Pelodiscus sinensis: one gene and its partner. The protein of the gene in region 1 purifies or fractionates together with the protein of each later gene. This does not show direct contact. Links are inferred from orthologs where the notes say so. Each region holds a gene or a part of one and is shown in the gene's direction. Other genes may lie near its edges.

Region 1 (9,369 bases):
TTACTGTTTAGGAGGAGTTATTGAACAAACAGACAGACAGACAGACAGACTCTCTCACTCAGAGAGGCAAACTCTCTCAAATATTGTAGCAAATGTTTTTGAGGCACTGCAAGGACACTCTTAAGGGGGGAAAATTATGTGGAGACAATTGAGTAAATTTTATGTTTCATCTGCCCTTCTGTTGGTAAGAATTTAGGATAAATGTTCTCAAATCTAGTTTCTATGACTGACTTGTTTGTGCTGCAACAATATTAAAATATTCATTGCAGCTGTAGGAACTAATTATTTTAATGAAATATGTATTGCAGAGGTGGTACAAGAACCAAACCATTGTTTTTGTGCGGTTCCCATAAACAGTGGCTATTGTTTGGTTTTAGTTTTTAGTGGTTCAGTTAATCTTATTGAGGAGTGAAATGTTTGAAGGGTGATGTCATGCTAGGGGGTCTACTACAGACCACCTACCCAGGTAGAAGAGGTGAATGAGGCTTTTTCTAAACAACTAACAAAATCATCCAAAACGCAGTGTTTAGTGGTAATGGGGGACTTCAATTATCCAGACATACGTTGGGAAACTAACACATCAGGGCACAGAGTAACCAATAAGTTCTTGGACTGCATTGTAGACAATTTTTTATTTCAGAAGGTTGAAAAAGCTACTGAGGGGGAAGTTGATCTAGATTTGATTGTAACAAATAAGGAGGACCTGGTTGAGAATTTGAAAGTGGAAGACAGTTTGGGTGAAAGTGATCATGAAATCATAGAGTTTGTGATTCTAAGGAATGGTAAAAGAGAGAACAGCAAAATAGAGACAATGGATTTCAGGAAGGCAGATTTTGGTAAAGTCAGAGAGCTGGTAGGTAAGGTCCCATGGGAAGCAAGACTAAGAGGAAAAAGAACTGAGGAGAGTTTGCACTTTTTCAAAGGGACGTTATTAAGGGCCCAAAAGCAAGCTATTCTGCTGTGTAGGAAAAGTAGAAAGTATGACAAAAGACCACCTTAGCTTAATCAGGGGATCTGGCATGATCTCTGAATCAAAAAGAAGTCGTATTAAAAGTGAAAACGAGGACAAATTACAAAGGATGAGTATGCAGGGGAAGATTAGAAAGGCAAAGGCACAAAATGAGCTCAAACTAGCTAGAAACACGAAGGGTAACAAGAAGACATTCTATAAATATATTAGCAGCAAGAGGAAGACCAAGGACAGAGTAGGCCCATTGCTCAGTGAAGAGGGAGAAACAATTACAGGAAACTTGGAAATGGCAGAGATGAGTTCTTTGTTTAATGACTTCTTTGTTTCGGTCTTCACCAAGAAGTCTGATGATGAAGAAATACCTAATATAGTGAATGCTAGCAGGAAGGGGGTAGGTTTAGAAGATAAAATAAAAAAAGAACATGTTAAATATTACTTAGAAAAGTTAGTCTGCAAGTCACCAAAGTCTGATGAAATGCATACTAGAATACTCAAGGAGCTGATAGAGGAGGTAGCTGAGCCTTTAGCTATCATCTTTGAAAAATCATGGAAGATGGGAGAGATTCCACAAGATTGGAAAATGGCAAATATAGTGCCCATCTATAAAAGGGGAAATAAGAACTCCCCAGGAAACTACAGACCAGTCAGTTTAACTTCTGTGCCAGGAAAGATAATGGAGCAAGTAATTAAGAAAATCATCTGCAAACATCTTTTGGAAGAAAATAAGTTGCTAGGTAACAGGCAGCATGGATTTGTAAAGAACAAATCATGTCAAACCAATCTGATAGTTTTCTTTGATAAGATAACAAGTGTTGTGGATAAGGGAGAAGCGGTGGATGTGGTAAGGCATTTGATACTGTCTTGCATGATCTTCTAATCAATAAATTAGACAAATACAACTTAGATGGGGCTACTATAAGGTGGATGCATAACTGTCTGGATAACTGTTCTCAGAGAGTAGTTATGCCCTTCCAGCATGTTTGTGAACCATTAATAACAAGTGGGGTTCCGCAGGGGTCTGTTTTGGGACTGATTGGCATAGAGAGTATGCTTATTAAGTTTGCAGATGATACCAAGCAGGGAGGTGTTGCAACTACTTTGGAGGATAGGGTCATAATTCAAAATGATCTGGACAAACTGGAGAAATAGTCTGAGGTAAATAGGATAAAGTTTAAGAAGGACAAATGCAAAGTACTTCACTTAGGAAGGAACAATCAGTTTCTCATATACAAAATGGGAAGCGACTGTCCAGGAAGGAGTACTGTAGAAAGGCATCTAGAGGTCATAGTGGACCACAAGCTAAATGAGTCAACAGTGTGATACTGTCCCCCCCCCCAAAAGAAAAAATGATTATGGAATGCTTTAACAGGAGTGTTGTGAGCAACACTCTGCGCTACGCTAGAGAGGTTGTGGAATCTCCATCTCTGGAGATATCGAAGAGCAGGTTAGACAGACATCTATCAGGGATGGTGTAGGTCATTGTTTCTGAAAGTGTTCTGTGGAATCACTTTGTGAAACACATTAACTGGCCACCCCCATTTGTTATTCACCAGCACCGCAGCCATGGAGCCTCATGGCTCCCATTGGCGTCATTTCGTCCTTTGTAGCGAAGAGGAGCTGTGGGAAGCAGCGTGGGTCGGGCCACATCTTCCCACTGCTCTGCTTGGCTGCAAAGAGCGAAACAGAGCCCATGGGAGCCGTGAGGCTCCGTGGCTGCGGTGCCAGTAAATAAACAAATCGGGGTGGCCAGTTAATGTTTCTCAAAATGATTCCATGGAACACTTTCAGAAACACTGGTCTAGATGGTGCTATCTAGACTAGTACATTGTTCTAACATATTTTTGGCCCCATGCACACTGGGGGAATATCTATGCAGCAGCAATGAGCGTATTCCATAAGCCCTAGCTCTGTTCTAGTTAGGACAGTAAATACAGCAGTGTGGCTATAGTGGTGTTGGCAGTTGCTTGGGCTAGCCACCCCAGTACAAACCTGCATGATTGTATAGTTTGGAAAGGTCAGAGGGGTCGTTGCCTGCCCAAATAGCAAACCTTGGCAAAAAGCAGAATTTGTCCCTTCCTACATGGCCCTGGTGGTCTGATTAGAGCTGCCTGTCTTCTCCCCCTCATGCCCCCCCGCAACACACACATAAGTCAAATCATGCTTATGCCCAGACTCATGGTATGTCTACACTATGGAGTTATTTTTCAGAAAAACAGCCGTTTTTTAAAAAAAAAACTTCAATTACATCCACATTGCAATTGCGTTCTTTTGAAAGAAAATCAAAAGAACAGAGTTTTCTCCAACATTGGTAAACCTCTTTCTATGAGGAAGAAGCCTTTTTCCGAAAGAGCTCTTTTGGATAAAGGTATGTGTGGACGGGGAAGAGGGAGTTCTTTTGCAAGAAGAGGAAAGAGGAAAAAACACAGATGCCCTGGTGGCCATTCCACCCATAGTAATCACAGCTTACATGCGAGATAGCATCCAGACTGAATGGACACTATCTTTCGAAAAAGATCACTTTTTCGATGAGCTTTGGCAGTGCAGATGCTCTCTTTCAGAAGAAGTTTTTTCAGAAGATCTCTTCCGGAAAAACTTTTTCCGAAAGAAGCTTGCCATCTAGATATAGCCTCACTGAGTACATGCTGAGCCAGGAATCCAGTTGTGTTAGAATCCCATTTAGCTATAATCCAGTGGTGGACAACCTGCAGACCAGAAGCTGAACGTAGCCCATGTTGATTCTATGCATGGCCCACAAGACATTTTGTTTACCGTTGTCCACACACAGGGTTGTCCAATTCCACTGGCTTCTGTCTGTGTAGTTTTTTTTCCCCTACTGGTATTACTAAAGTGACACACTCATAAAAGGCATGTGAAGCAAGGTGTATGCTGACCGCACACAACATTTACTGAGAGAGCCATTCACTCTCTTGGCATCCAACCAAAGTGCTGCTATAGTTCAACTAGCACACCCAGCAAAATTCAAGTGCAGTTAGCAAAATTATCCTATCCCCGGAGACTGTATTGGTTATGACAATCTTGCAGTCCACTGAAGTGAAGGAGGCTCACTCACTAGCCTAAGTTGCTTATCACTACTATAATCAAATTCAAATTGTGTTTAAGTAAAATTTAAATTCATTTGTTTAACCAGTAAAGATAGAGTATGAATTTCATTTGCTTTCAGAGTTGCAAAGTCTGGACAACATACATGGCTATAATAGAGAAGAGAACAAAGAAAACTGTTCAGCAACACAAAGGATCAGAGAAGTAGACTTCAGTGAGGGCTTAAATTCCTAAAGAGTAAAAAAGATTTTATAAATATATTTAGAAAGCTAAGCTAGATTTGCAAATATTTATTCTCCTATGGCAACTTCTATGTCCAAAATTTACAACACAATTCAAATTCTTCCCATGAACTTTTGCAGCCTTGCCAGAAGTTAAGGGAGAGGAATTAACAATAAAAAGAACAACATAAATGGAATCAAGTCCTTTCTTTGTATACTTTCTTATTATAATTATTCCAGTTATGCCTCTTCTGCTCTCCCTTTATTAGATTTTTTTACTCACATCTGTTGCATCATTTTCTAAGTTAGACTTCAAGCTCTTCACAGGCTTTTGTGAAACATCCAGCACATTTCTGGGTGCTCATACAAATAATATTATTATTTAAGTCGGGTTAATTTAAAATTCTTTGACTTCTGTAGATTTTTATGAGTAATAAGGATTTAACCTACATTGTGATGTTTGTGAGTTCTGTAGCCTGTGGCAGTTCTCATTAAAGTTAAAATTAGCAGTGAAACAGAGGAAAAAAAATCTAAAATAAGATGCTTAACAATGCGTATCAGAATAAATAAGAGAGTAAGTCTTAGTAATCAAGCTCACAAAGCTTAGTGATTAAATTGACAAATTCTTAAAACACATGGGGGTGAAGTGACTAAAGTTGTTATAGCCACATGACGTTGTGTATGGAAAAAATAACCCCTCACGTCTATGTAGCATATGATAAAAATAGACCCATCTCCCCTTCCCACGCTGCTTCTCTCCGGCCTCCCTTCCCACAGAGCTCCTCTGTGACGTGCTCCCTCCTCTCCCCCCCACCCGCAGCTGCCTCAGCTCTGCTCCTCCCCCCATCTCCCTTCCCCACACAGCTTCTCCCTCTCCCCGTAGCCCCCTCCCCCCCAGGTGCCTCCTCCCTGGCCCGTCACCGCGCTTTCCCCCGTCCCTCCCCCGGCACGTGACGAGGGAGCGCTGACATTGCGCGAGCGCGAGGCGGAGACGGCGGCAGTGGTTGGCGGTGGCGGCGGCTGTGGCCGCGCTGAGGCGGGAGCGGACCCGGCGGCTACCCGGGTAAGGTGGCTGTAAGCAGGGGCCCAAGGCCTGGCGCCGGCCGGGGGGGCGGGCAGTGAAGGGGGCGGGGTCTCGGCGGGTGACCCTGTTGGCTCGCGGGAGGCTGCTGCTTCTGCCGCCGCCGCCGCCAGGGTCGCCCCCAAGCTGGCTGGGCCGGGAGGGGGTCTTGGCTGGTGCCCCGAGTCCCTTCCTGGAAGGAGCCTGAGTCCCTTTTGCCCTCCTCCCCCCCGCCGAGGGCGGGAGTCCTAGGGGAAGTTTCTTCCTGGCCCCTGGCAGGGGCTGGCTTGTGCCCGGAAGCGAGGAGGCTTGTGCTCGTCCTGCTCTGTATCCAGGGGCTGCTTCACCCCCGCTGGCCTGTTCGTACTCACCATAACTCCTGGGGTTGGCTGGGATGGGGGCGACAGTGGCACTGCTACCCCTGCCTTCTCTGTGCTCAGGGGCGCTGGAGCAGGTTTTATAGTTGGGGGTGCTGCGAGCCATTGAACCAAACTGTAAATCTGTATAATGGAAACCCCTTCAAGTCGGGGGGCTGGAGCCCCTGCCGCCCACCCGTGCTTCCAGTACCAATGCCTGTCCTGATAAGCAGGCTGCATAGCCCTGGGTATAAAGTTGACTGAGAACGACTTTCTCTCTTGTGTTGGAAATATGAAGTGGGGTGGGTGACTTTTTTGTTGTTGTTGTTGGTTGGTCATTGCACAGACTGCATGTTCGGTTTGTTTTTCAAAACCTTTGTGTATGTATATACTGCAGATGTGCCTGCTCACAAATTAGTTAACGGAGCTATGAATATGTCCTGTAATTTTGTTTTACCTGTTAAAATGAATCCTAAGGTTCAGATCAAAACTGCTTCAGTGCTAGTTGAGATGGTAGCCATTACTGTATTTCTCAGATGTCCATTTTGAATGTGGACTCTAACACACCCTAAAATGCTTAGAATGATTGTTTGTATAATTTAATCACTGTGTACAGACACAGATTTGCTCAGCTATTTATTGCTGGTCATTCTAATCAACAATATAACAATAGTGCATAGTGAAAGGCAAGGGGCTGCCTGCTTTAACATATACAGTTGGTGAAAAGTGGCTTTTAAAAGTTGCTTTGACAATGATTTAAAATATATCATGTATTCAGAAGTCTCTAAGATGAGCCAATAGACAGTTATCAGGAAATTATATTTTACTTATGCTTTTAATTTTTAAGCAAATATAAACATTTAGGGCAGACGGGCTCATTCTGCTTGGAAACTGCATTTGTCTCTTAATACTGATGATGGTTATGTTGGAGGAAGGGGTAAAGGTTTAAACCTTTTATTAATGGTCCTGAAAGTCCCTAATGTTCATGTGTGCTATTTGTGTTATATATATATATATGTTTGCTTGACATGATTTTACCTACAATTCTGCACAAATAACTGATGCTTGTTGTCAAGCAAAACTGTTCTGATGAAACTTCAGTATGTGAAATTCATTTCTAACAGCGCAGATGTGAGAGAAATTGTCTTCTAGAAAGTATGGACTTGAGGTACTCTCTGATGACATTAAAAAAAAGTAGCTCTTTGATATTGTAGAAATTTCTTCAAATTTTACTCCAAACTTGAATACTTATAAATTTGGAATATATTGTTGGCTTCTTTGTTGTTCTCCTTAGTCACTGAATGTACTGAAAAGCTTGAAAGAATGATTAGCTAACTTTTTTATTTTTGATCTTGAAAAATAAGAAAGTGTCTCAGAAAAATTTGAATAAAAGGTTAAATAACAAGAATTTCACAATGGTTTAAGTTTGTCCCCAAATAAGTATATCTTGGAACCATATTCAAGAAATGCTGTTGTAGCAAATGTTTTTGAGAAGTTGCAAGGACACACTTAAGGGGGGAAAAAACTACTATGTGGAGACAATTGAGTAAATTTTTTGTTTCATCTGGCATTCTGTTGGTAAGAATTTAGGACAAATGTTCTCAAATACAGTTTCTATGACTGACTGACTGGTTTGTGCTGCAACACTGTTAAAGTATTTGCTGTAGCTGTAGGGACTGATTCTTTTAATGAAATATGTATTGCAGAGGTGGTACAAGAACCAAACCATTGTTTTTGTGTGGCTCACATAAACAGTGGCTATTGTTTGCTTTTAGTTTTTAGTGGTTCAGTTAACCTTTTTGAGAAGTGAAATGTTTGAACTTCAGCTTTTTGTAAATTTAAAATGTCATACTAGTCTCTTAAAAATATTCTTAAAAGTCAAAGTAATTGTAAAACCATTTCTGATATTCTTCAAACACCCCTTGGAAAGGAGTCCAGTTTGTAGCTTAGAAATGCAGTGAATTGCTATGACAGCAGCCTGGCAGTCACAGGGGAAATCTTTGTTCTTTGTGCAGAGTAGTGCTGATATTTGAAGATGGGAAGTACTGTGAAATCTGGGGAAATAGCTGAGCTGCAGTACTTACTTGAGGCTTATCTGAAAGTTACACAGATTTTAACTAAAGGTGTAACTTAAAATTAGTTTAAACTCATGCTAGTCTGTAGTAGGAATGTTAAAATGTATGTAATTGGCTAACTGTAACTGCTGAAAATGGTTTTATGTGAGGTGGCTGCCAGCTCCCTGGCAGCTGATGTGATGCCAGAAGCCTGCTCTGGTGTGCACTGGATCCTGCACACACCCCCTCTCCGTGGGAAGCTGGCTGCTGCCTTGCACTGTATCAGAGGCAGCAGTGCGAGGAGGCATGTGGGAGCTGATATGCATGGGGATTCTGGCATCCAGGATCAGACTGCCACCCTGCACTGCTGCTTCTGTATCCAGTACAGAGGCAGTAGTGCAGGGCAGCAGCCGGCATCATTAGAGCCAGACAGGGAGCTGCGTGTAACTGTTTTTGGTAACCAATAAGCTAAGCCAAGTTTAAATGGCTACACTCTTTACACCCCTAATCTGTAGTCACTTCTGTTTTAGTTTGAGGACTTGTCTACTCTGGCAAGTTACTGCCCTGTAACTTTCTCACTCAGAGGTGTGAATCTCCCTTTTCCCCCCAGTGCAGTAAGTTACTGCGCTGTAAAGTGCCAATGTAAACTATCCTCACACTGGGAGCCGTGTTCCCAGTGTCATTAGCTACTCTCCTCGGGGAGGTGATTTACCTATAATGGTGCTGTGACTACACTACTGTGTTAACATGCTGCTGTGGCAATGCATTAAACTTGAACATGTAGACAAAGCTTAAAAGTCTTATTTCAGTGTAGGTTTTTTTTTTTTTACAGAATTGCTAAACTGAAATAAACCAACCTGAAAGTATCTAATTCAAATTTATATCAATTCTAAGTAAATTGGTTTAAATAAGCAGTTTGTTATATTCAAGTTTGTGCTTAGTCAAGGGCCCAGATTGTTTATGGATGAATCTCTTCTGGCAGGGATGTGTGTCAGACAACAGGAAAATTGTCAGAACAAATTCATTAAAACTGGAAAAGTGTTCATGAGAGACGAGGTTTTGGAACTGAGGCTCCTGAAGCTGGCAGGAGATGGCTTTTTCTTCTTTCAGCATGTCCTAAAACCTACCCAATATTGGGTGTGTCCTTACAGAATTTGATGGATAATCACCATCTCGGTGCTGAGAGAGTGTTCCATTTCCCCTAGAAAATGGGTGACCTAAAAGATTCTATGCATGAGCTCTAAAGCTAAAAATCTAAAGATGTTTTAACCACTTCAGTTCCTACCATACAGGCAACATAATGGTATTTTGCATAGTACATCCTTAAGACAACACAAATGTTTTGTAGAGTGGAGGAACTTAATCACTACCAGGCTATAAGGACACTATCAGTCTTTTAAATGCTCTGTCACCCAGACTTTTGTTAACCAAAGAAACAAATTTAGATGCACATCTCAGACCTTTTGTGAGTGGTGAATTTTCTTGCTGACTTCATTGTGTCCTTTCAGTAACTTTAATCTTGTGAATCAGGTCTCCAGTTGCATTAAAATATCAAAATCTACAGATTTTACCATAGTGAAAATTTATTCTTATTTTACAGATGATGGGGTGAGTAGAACTGAGAGATACAGAAGTTACAAAATGTGAC
Region 2 (9,783 bases), on another chromosome or scaffold:
AGCGGGGGAGAAGAGATATTAAGGTAATATTTTATGTAAGAGCCTATTGTGCTTAAAAGGAAATGGAAATGTTTTTATTTTCCGTAACAGGTGTAATAGGTGTAATTTTCTTCTTAAAATATCATGGGATTTAATCTGCAATTCACATTTCTGCCTTTTTCCCTTCAATTTTTCAGGCTTATTCTTTTAAACTAAACTTCCAGCTACCAAATCTGCTTTCAGCAGGGGTCCAAGTAGTAAAAAAGAGTATAATGTTTTTGTTTAAAAATGATACATTCATAGTTGTAGAAAAAAGGATTTTTTTTACCTTTTCTCTATTTCCTTTTGCTATGAGTATCTTCATAAAGTAACCATACATTGCTTAATAATATTAATGATATATTTATGTCAAGTGAGGGTGTTCTATTCCAATAGAAATAAGCCAAGCCAAGCCAAGCTTGGCATAGCTCATGATGCACGTCTCATGTTGTTGAAGTGAGGCACAAGGCCAAAGGCAAAGAGATAACACAAGGCATGCACTGAAACCCTGTTGTGTTATTCCTGCCTTCTTAGGTCTGAGAAACTGGAGCCTTCGGACTAGCTGAGAAATGTAAAAAAAAGACAAAAATAGGTGATTTACTCGAGATATCACCCCCAAATAATTTATAAAGAAATCATTTAATAAGTGACATTCAAACCTTTGACACTATAAAAGTTGCTTTATTGTAACAATAGTTATTCCTTTTCAAAAATTGTATGTAAAAAAGGAGCCCAAATTTTCTGTCATATTTGCAAGACCAAGCCACATGTATGTAAGCTTTTAGCATTATATTAAAAGAGACCTGATACAGATTTTGAAATGCAATGTTTTCTTGGCTTCTGAGTTCCCCTGACAACTTCCTTGTGTTTAAAATGACACGACTGCCTGTTTGGCTAATACTGTTACTTTTGTGATGTGTCGTTGAACAATATGTAATAAATATACAGTATTCTTAGGTGGCATTGCCCATTATTTGGAATTAAAATGAAATTCTTGATACCAACTCTTGCCTGCTATTAATTAAAATATGAACTAACATCTCATGGAAGCCAGTTCTGCGTTAGATTATCTGTGCTATGTATGTGTATTTTTCAGCAAAAGGGAGTCAGTCACGTTCTTGCTAAATAACTTCTGAAATCAAGGAAATACAGTTAGGGCTACCAGTATGAGTCAGAGAGAGCAAAACACAGCACTACACAAAGCAGAGAGAAACCAGAACAGTTAAAAGAGGTGGGGCATGAACACCTCATTTACAGCAAATAGGAATTTGAGATGAAGCTGTTTAAATTTCACCCCTTCACAAAACTAGATTTAGTCAGCATGTATCTGACATTAGTGGTATGTTCACACAGGAGCCTTTTCAAGTTGGGTGAGACTTGAGCTAGTTGGGCGTGTTCTGGCACTGTACAAATAGCTGTGTAAACTCTGTTATGAGGTACAGCTCAGACTGGAGTTTGGGCTGTGAAGCTTACATAGGAGCAGTTTGGACAGACCAGCTGCGCTCTACACGGATGCTACAACTACAGCGGTCCAACAGAAGACTCTTGGGTAAAGAGGATTTCCAGTGCAGGACTACAGTCGTAGAAAATCTTACATATATATGTTAGAATATGAGCAACCCTATTCTAGTGCTAATCTAAGAGCAGGTTCTGCTAATGGCCACTTCCTAGGCACAGCTAATAATTGAGAAGACTCAAGAAGTAGAAGGTAAAAAGCAAAATAACCCAAACATGCAATAGAGAAAACTGTCTAAATAAAATGGCTATCTCAATTGAAAGTGTTTACATAACATAATGGCACTTAATTGATATGAGCTAATTGATTATGTTCCAAATTTGGATATGGAAGGTGGATTCTTTACAAGAGCTTAGTGTTGGCTTAACACTTGGTCTCTCTGATATCAATGGAAGTTTTACTATTGGCTCAGTTAGGTTAATGGAGAACACTTTTCAGAATTCCTTTAAAATCCTACCTATGCCTAGAATTCAGTGTTTTCCTTCTTTTGTTACATGCCTGATCACTAGAACCCTGCATAGATACAAAACTTATATCCATGTCCACACCCACATCTGCCCAAATGAGCTGCCAATATCCGCCTCCACATCCGCGAATGCAGATGCCTGCCGATTTTCAGGGCTCTCCATCACCTGTGCTGACTATACTCCAGTGGGTAGGTATTTTAGTAAATAAAGGCTTTCAGTAAATTGGGGGAGTGGTAGACAGCTATAAGAACCAGGGTTTAATCTCAAGGTACAACATAATTCAGAAAGCAAAAAGCAAATTGTGTCTTGATGCATCATATTGGAAGATCTTTGGACAGAGGTTCTGTTGTCTTACATGTTTTGTACAGTGAGGGCCCTGATCCCAAGCTGGGAGTTTTGTGTGCTGCCCTGACATGAATGTAAAAGTGTGTGCCAGAGAGACTGATGCACCTTCATTTGTCCCTCTGCACTAAGGCTGCAATACATTGACTCAGTTGATGAGTATCATTACAAGAGCATAGGTGCTAAAGCACCTCTTTTTGCTTCCTCACTTCACTTGTCTTGTGGCATTATACTCTCAGACAAATGCACTGAATTAAAAAAGGATGAAAATAGAAGGTAAAGAAAAGTCCCAATTTAGCTCCACAAGTTGTTTCACAAAATGAGAAAATCCTGCCCTGAAGAGTTTATAGTCTAAATAACTGAGAAGACTGACAAGTGAAGAGACACACAGTAGGGCTGTGCAAATAACTTTTGGTTTTTTACTTACTGGCTGAACCAAAAACATTTAAAAGATCAATTTTAAGTTTACCCTCATCAAAAATTTCAGGTTTTGGTTGTTAAAAAAAAAAAAAGCTATTTAAGTTCACAGTTCTCTGATTGAAATGTTTAGATTTGAAATAACCTTGCATTTTTTTACTTATTTTGAGTGAACGAAACATTTAGTTTCAAAGGATTTTTTAAACCTTTTAAAAAGAACACTGAAGTAAAAAAAAGGCAAAGTTTTTCCAAATCTAAACATTTCAATCAGAAAATGGTGAACTTAAATAGCTTCAGAATTTTTTCCTTTGTGTTTGATGGGACAAAAGGCAATACATGGAGGGGTGTGCTTTTTCAAAACAATAAAGCAAATTTTACATACATTTACAATTTTTTTGTTAAATCTGATTGTTTAAAAATAATTAAGCTGAAAAATTTGACCTTGCTCTAATAAGCAGGAGTAGGGCAGAGAGACTAATGCCATGGAATAAAGAGAGAAAATTGGATTGTTAGTTCAGTTTAGGCATATGTTTGGGTTAATAGCTCAGTTTTGTGGGTCTGAAAATAGTTTGTAGGCGTGTGTTGCAGAAATGAGTTCTTGGGAATAATGTAGATGGTTAAAGCAGTTTTTGGAAGAGCATTCAAAATATGAGTCAGCATGGGAAGAACAGAGAAAGTTGTGTGAAAAAAGTCAAAGGCACTTGGAAGTGGGTGAGGCAAAAGGGGACATGAAAGAAAAGATCAGTTGCAGATGGAAGGTGCTCTATGTGGTCTTTGCAAGTGAGGACAAGACATTTTAAATTGGCTGCACACAGCTGTTTGGAGCTGTTGTGATCTATCCTGTGAATGCTTCATAAAGAATAGGAGTGACTTGTATGCTGCTATTGAGGGGTTTTTTTGAACCGTAGTAAGACCAGGAAAGGACTTTATTTATTTGCACCCTTTCCAGGGTTTTGTCTGGAAGATAGAATCAGCTAATATCTAGAGAAAGAAAACAAATGTTTACAACAAGCTCCTCAGAGCAAGGCAGCTAACCTCTCCAAGTTGCTGAATTATTTTATCAATTTGTATTTGGGTAATTGTGTAGCACTAAGAAATCAATATGGTACAATGGATGATTTTGTACATGTTAATTCACTGATTTTTACACTGTTCCTGCTACTAATTAATATTTTCTGTTATGTTTGTCTTATTCTATATACAATTTTAAGAATAACATGTATCCTTGCATACCGCTCTTCATCTTCAAAACACTTAAAAACATTAGCTAATCCTTATGAGACTCCTATGGAAGATAAACATAATTTTCTATCTGCAATATATGGACTATATATGGAGTTTACTTTTATTAAGGAAAAAGGAATTGACACCAAAAAACACGTGAAACAAATAATGCAAATGGTCAGACAAACTCAGAAAAGCAAGGACATTCAGAGACTCCAATCTCCACGTCTGGTCTCATTTTGCTTTAGAACTGCAGTTGATTATCTCCTGCAGTAGCTGAAGGAAAAATAATTACTTAATTAACCCTGAACATCAATTATGTATATTAACCCTTATTTGTTTGGGGGCTTTTGGGGAGTAGATAGTTCAATAATGTCACTTACATTTCTGTTAATGATTAACAACACTTGGAAGCAGGGCCTTTAAAAATATTGTAATGGGGGAATATATCTTAATAGAAGCAGGCTCTTTCTGCTGTGTTTAGTTTTCAAGTCAAAGATTTAATTAAAAGCATGGTCTCTTATTCCTTCTGTTCAATGCATGGCATATTATGCCATAGTCAATCAAAAAGCAATTCTGTGAACCCATGCTCCTGGGCATTCTGAGAATTTCTAAACTTGAGCCACTGCTGTAAAATGATCCTGCCCACACTTGGCAACTGCCCTGCAAATTGTCAGAAGCCTGTACAGGGTAAAGTCCAACAGCTACAATACACTGTTATAAAGCTGTTGTGGGGAGTAAACTGTTTGATTTGGGAGAAATTTGCTTAGAGGGATACTATGAAGCAAACTAGCCAACAAAAGGCGATTTTTGTTGCTCCTTTATGATGTGTAAATATTACTTCTTAAATAAACCCTCATTTTTCACATTAAGACGGTCAGGACTTGGCACTCTCTTTTCAGATCAATGACTTCAGCAAAGACTGGAAAGCTGAAATATCTGGAAGTACATCTCGAAGCATAGGCTGATTAGGGAAGTTTAGGTTTCAGAATCGTGTCTGGAAGAACTGGAGGGTTCAATTACATTTTTTAGCCTGCAACTTGAGTTGCTATCAGAAGTTTCAGCTGTGAGGTGTGATATCACCAACCAGATAATCCAAAGATTTCTCAAACCCACCAGGAAAACAGAATAATGTTAAGAACAATTAGGAAAGAGAGAGAGAGAGAGCAATCCATATGCAATCCTCTAAATAAATCCATGATATGCCCACATCTTGTAATTCTGGTCTCTCCATCTCAAAAAGATAGACAGAATTGGAAAAGGTATAGAGAAGAGCAACAAAAAGGGGTATGGAACAACATCCATATGAGGAAAGATTAAAAAGATGGGCTTTTCAGCATGGAAAAGAAAAAAAACTAAGAGGGAATAGGATAGAGATCTATTCAGATCATGAATGGTAAGGAGAAAGTGAATAAAGAAGTGCTATTTAGTCCTTCATGTTACAAGAACCAGGACTCACCCAATGATATTAATAGGCAACAGGTATAAAACAAACACTAGGAAGTACTTCTTCACATAAAGGCACAGTCAACTTGTGGAACTCTCTTTGTGAAAGTAAAAATCATAACAGGTCAAAAAAGAACTAGACATTCCTGGAGGATTATAGATCCCTGAATGGCAATTAGCCAGGATGGGCATGGATGCAACTCCATGCTCTAAGTGTCCCTAGCCTCTCTTTGTCAGAAGCTAGTAATATTTCACTTCACGAGTGTCTTTTCTGTTCATTCATTCTGTAACACTTGGATTTGGCCACTGTCAGAAGACTGGTTAGCTGTCAAATGGTCTTACCTAGACTGTTTCAATACTTGTTCTGTGACTAAACAGAGGCCACAGCTGTCAAATCAGCAGTGCTTTTCAAGATTAGTGTGATTTGTAGAGGTCCCAGTTAAGATCAATCCTCAACCCAAGGAGATTTCAATCTAAATAGAATGGGAGGGGAAACGTAGAGGTGAAGTGACCTGCCAAAGGTCACATAGGAAGACAGTAGCAGAGACTAGACTAGCTCTCAGCTCAGCTTGAATCCCAGGCTTGCCCTATTCTGTGAATCACACGGTCTCTTCGCTCAGACATTTCCTAACAACAAATTACGTTGTTAAGCCAAGCGGTCAAAGATTAGGGAAGAGAGGGCTGTTTTTCCTGATTTTTTTTCCTTTCTAAATTAATATAATAGTGATTTTGAATTTAATGTCGATTTTTTTTGGGGGGGGGGCTCACCAGTTTTTTGTTCACTTACGAGACAAAGCGGTCGGCGAGAGGGTGAGTTTCAGGTCAAAACAGGGGCTGATGTAATGGCTCAGAAGATCCCACCTAGTGACTAAACCCCGAGTCTAGTAGCTTTCCTCCTCGCACCTATTGTACCAGGGCTTTGAACCGGTATTTCCTGTTCCACCCTCTCCAGCCAGAGCCAGTCGTGGGGGTGGCTGGAGAGGGCGAGAAGCTGCCAGTAAATGGGAGAGGAGGCTGGGGTAAGTCGGCGGAGCGGAGCTGCTCAGGCGGCTGTGGGTGTGCGCGGGCGGGGGGGATGTAGAACCAGCTGGCCCCCCAGCGTGTGGACAGAGTTTAGCGCGGAACCAGGACCTCAGGCAGCGCTTCCGTGCATGGCAGCTCCCAGCTCCACCTCCCTCCCCGCCCGCTGGGGAACAAGCGAGGGCTGGGCCGGGGAGCGGAGAGGCAGGTGCTCCGAAGGGCTCGGCCCGCTCCGACCCCGCTCACCTGCCTTGCTGGAGGTCTGATCAGGTCCCCCCCTCTCCATTTGCCTCCCACAGGAAATAGCCTGACTCAAAGAGACCCCGCATCTCCTGTCCCCCAGGCGTCCCGGGCTGCTCCCTCCACCAGCCAGGGGGGCGCTCAGCTCCACACGGCGCGGGCTGCTGCCGCCGGACGCCTTGCCAGCCCCGCTCCAGGTATGTCGGCGCAGCCTCGCGGCTCCCCCTTCTCTGCGGAACTGCTGCTTCCGAACCAGCCCAGCTGATTTGGAATGTCGCGGGGTGGTGGGGGGCGAGCCCCACTTCGCCACGTGCAGGCCAGGCGCTTGGCGGGGACTCTTCCAGCTTAGCTGGTGCGGGGAAGGAATTGTCCCCTGGCTCGGGTGTATTGCCCCGTGCAGTGGAGCTGAACAAAAACCCCCTTCCCCAGCCATCAGGGAAGTTCCGCTCCGCAGCCCGGCTTCCCAGCTGGCTCTGTATTGGAAATAAACTTTGGGTAAATCTCTGCTCCGGATCGGCAAGCTGCGGCTCACCCTCCGCCCCTTCCCTCTCCTGCTTTCTCCTCGCCCTTTTGCGCCTGTGCGTGCCTTGGCTGAAAGAAGCCTGAATTGGGTGTGCGTGGCTGGCTGCACATTGTTCTCGGGTTGTTTGGCTTCATGTTCGCTCGGAGGCAAGCCTCAGCAGGCTGCCAGCCCCTGAGGGAGGGAGGGACTCTTGTTCCTGCTTCACACTACCAGCCTCTCCTCTAGGGAGCGGGAATACCCAGAATCTCATTTACAGATGATCTTTTCTGTAACAGGATTATGGGCCTCTGTTTCAATTCCCACGTTAAGTACTTTGAGGGAGTCCATGATAGTAGGTGGGTAGAAGAGCTGTCACTGAGGAATCAGGCTTTCTTTAGTTTTTCTTTCTTGGAGTGTGGGTGGGAGCGAGGGAGAGAAAACGTACACCAGAATAGTGACTCAGAGTGTCTTTGCAATACAGAAAATTTCCAAGATCTTTATGTTGGCACGTCCTCACTGAATGCCAGCCATACTTCTGGATGAGGGGACATTTCAGGATATCAAAGTATTTTAAAACAAGATTTGGCAATTCAGGGGTTCAGAAATACCTTTACAGCTGTTTTGTTTCTTCAGTCAGACCTATTAACTCCTCCTCTTTCTTACTAGGTTAAACTATATGCTAACTTTAAAACACAAACCAGATATTACACAGTACCAATTACTAATAACAGTAGTCCAAATTAAACAGCTGAAGTTTGAGAAGATTTAAAATCTGAGATTGTGTAAACAGCATAGGAATTGACACAGGAAATGAGGGCTAACATAGCTTTTGAAACCGCTAAACCCCAAGGTTTTGTCCCACTACAAAGCCACCACAAGTCTGGTTTGATGTGACAAGGACCTCATAGAAGTTAACTAGAATGTACAAGGCACAGCACTAATACAATGAAATTTAATTTTAATAATGATCACTTAGGGTTAGAGAGACAAGGTGGCTTTTATGGAACCAACTTCTGTTGAGAGAGACAAACTCTTGAGTTCAGGACAAGGCTACACATCAAAATTGTCAACCTAAATTATGTTGACTGTGTTATGCAGTAACTGAATAGCTTTTTTTACATAACCATGCTCAGCTCTTTGCATTGGTGGTCCACATTCTCACTGGGCATGTTTGCACCAACAATAATTGCCAGTGTAAGGACATTGTGGGATAGTGTCTGAAAGAAAGCAAAAGTTGATGTAAGCTACACAGTGTCTACATTGACACTTCATTGACCTAATTATATAAACTTAAGTTCTGTGCCTCTCATGAAGATGGGGTATTTAAGGGCTTCTCTACACTACAAATTGTAATTTAAGTTAATTCAGCATACAGCCAACATAGTAATTACAAGTAGTGGTTCTTGTTCACACTTGCCCCTTTTGTCAGTGGCACACATTCTTAGCAGCAGCACTTCCACAAATGGGACTCACACCTGTCCCCCCTCCCAACTGTCAGGCAGGTGCTGGCTCACAGCTAGGGTCCTCTCAGCCCCATGTGGGGCTCACAGATGGATTCTCCCAGTTCTGGGGATGACTGTAAAAATACAGTTTTTTTTTTTTTTTTTAAAGCAGAACAACCCATTCTAACCAACAGCTGGAGACAGAAGGTGAAATAATAGCATCTATGAAAATGACAAGAATGTCAGTTTCACCGGTGAAACAAAAGACAGGACTATGCAGCACTTTAAATACTAACAAGATGGTTTATTAGATGATGAGCTTTCGTGGGCCAGACCCACTTCCTCAGATCAATTTGTGGAAGAAAATTGACATGACCATATATACCAAAGTGATACAGTCAAAAAAAAAAGTGAACAAATAAAATTGACAAATCAGATTTTAGAACGGAGAGGGGATGTGGGGGGGAGGTTAGTGTCTATGAGGTAATGATATTAGGGGTGATAATTCCTAATTATCATTCATAGTTCCTGCTGTGAGACTCCCTGTTGTGAAACTTAACCTTGCAACACCCTCTCAGCTGGGGCTATCAGCCTGGGAGTGATTGGGGGGTGGGGCAGGAGGAGTGCCCTAGCCCAGACAGTTAGCAAGCTCTGTAGTAGTGTATAGATCAAGCCTTATCAGTGGAATGGGTGAGTCAGGTAGGTGGGAGCTACATTTTAGTGTAGGCGCTTATAGAGACAGGATGATGTAAGGTAGTTACATAACTTGGTAGAGTAGACAAAGTGACCTGAAGAACAGCTCTGTGTAACTTATGTTAGTCATTCAGCTGTAGATCAAAAATAAATGTTCAAAAGCCATTTCTAATCGGCATTGATTTGTTGCTTATTAGTGCTCACGGTTATTCAGTGTTGGGCATGACACAAAAATAATAACCATGCATTGCTCTTCTAGTGCTTTTCCCATCATAACAAGATATCACTGTACAGTATATTCAACACAATGGGCCATATTCTGATTGTTTGACACTGCACGGCCCTGATCATTTAAGAACTGTTAAATAGACTGTGTGTTCAAGGGCAAAATTAGATGATGCATTTGTTTTATATATTTTGAGACTCTAGTATGGATGAAAACTGACCATAATACAG

Evidence for each region.
Region 2: the proteins of ARHGAP12 (region 1) and TJP2 purify together in Homo sapiens (co-immunoprecipitation; 3 studies listed by BioGRID and IntAct, with this or other methods). This does not show direct contact. The link is inferred for Pelodiscus sinensis from reciprocal best matches to the Homo sapiens genes ARHGAP12 and TJP2.

Annotation. Positions count from the first base shown.
Region 1 is NC_134712.1:229,554,888-229,564,256, reverse strand, and holds the start of ARHGAP12 (rho GTPase-activating protein 12), read left to right. Parts: upstream 1-5,093; 5' UTR 5,094-5,314; intron 5,315-9,369. UniProt on the Homo sapiens protein: GTPase activator for the Rho-type GTPases by converting them to an inactive GDP-bound state.
Region 2 is NC_134716.1:32,193,157-32,202,939, forward strand, and holds the start of TJP2 (tight junction protein 2), read left to right. Parts: upstream 1-6,217; 5' UTR 6,218-6,240; exon of another isoform or gene 6,241-6,449; intron 6,450-6,497; exon of another isoform or gene 6,498-6,654; intron 6,655-6,749; 5' UTR 6,750-6,887; intron 6,888-9,783. UniProt on the Homo sapiens protein: Plays a role in tight junctions and adherens junctions. Acts as a positive regulator of RANKL-induced osteoclast differentiation, potentially via mediating downstream transcriptional activity.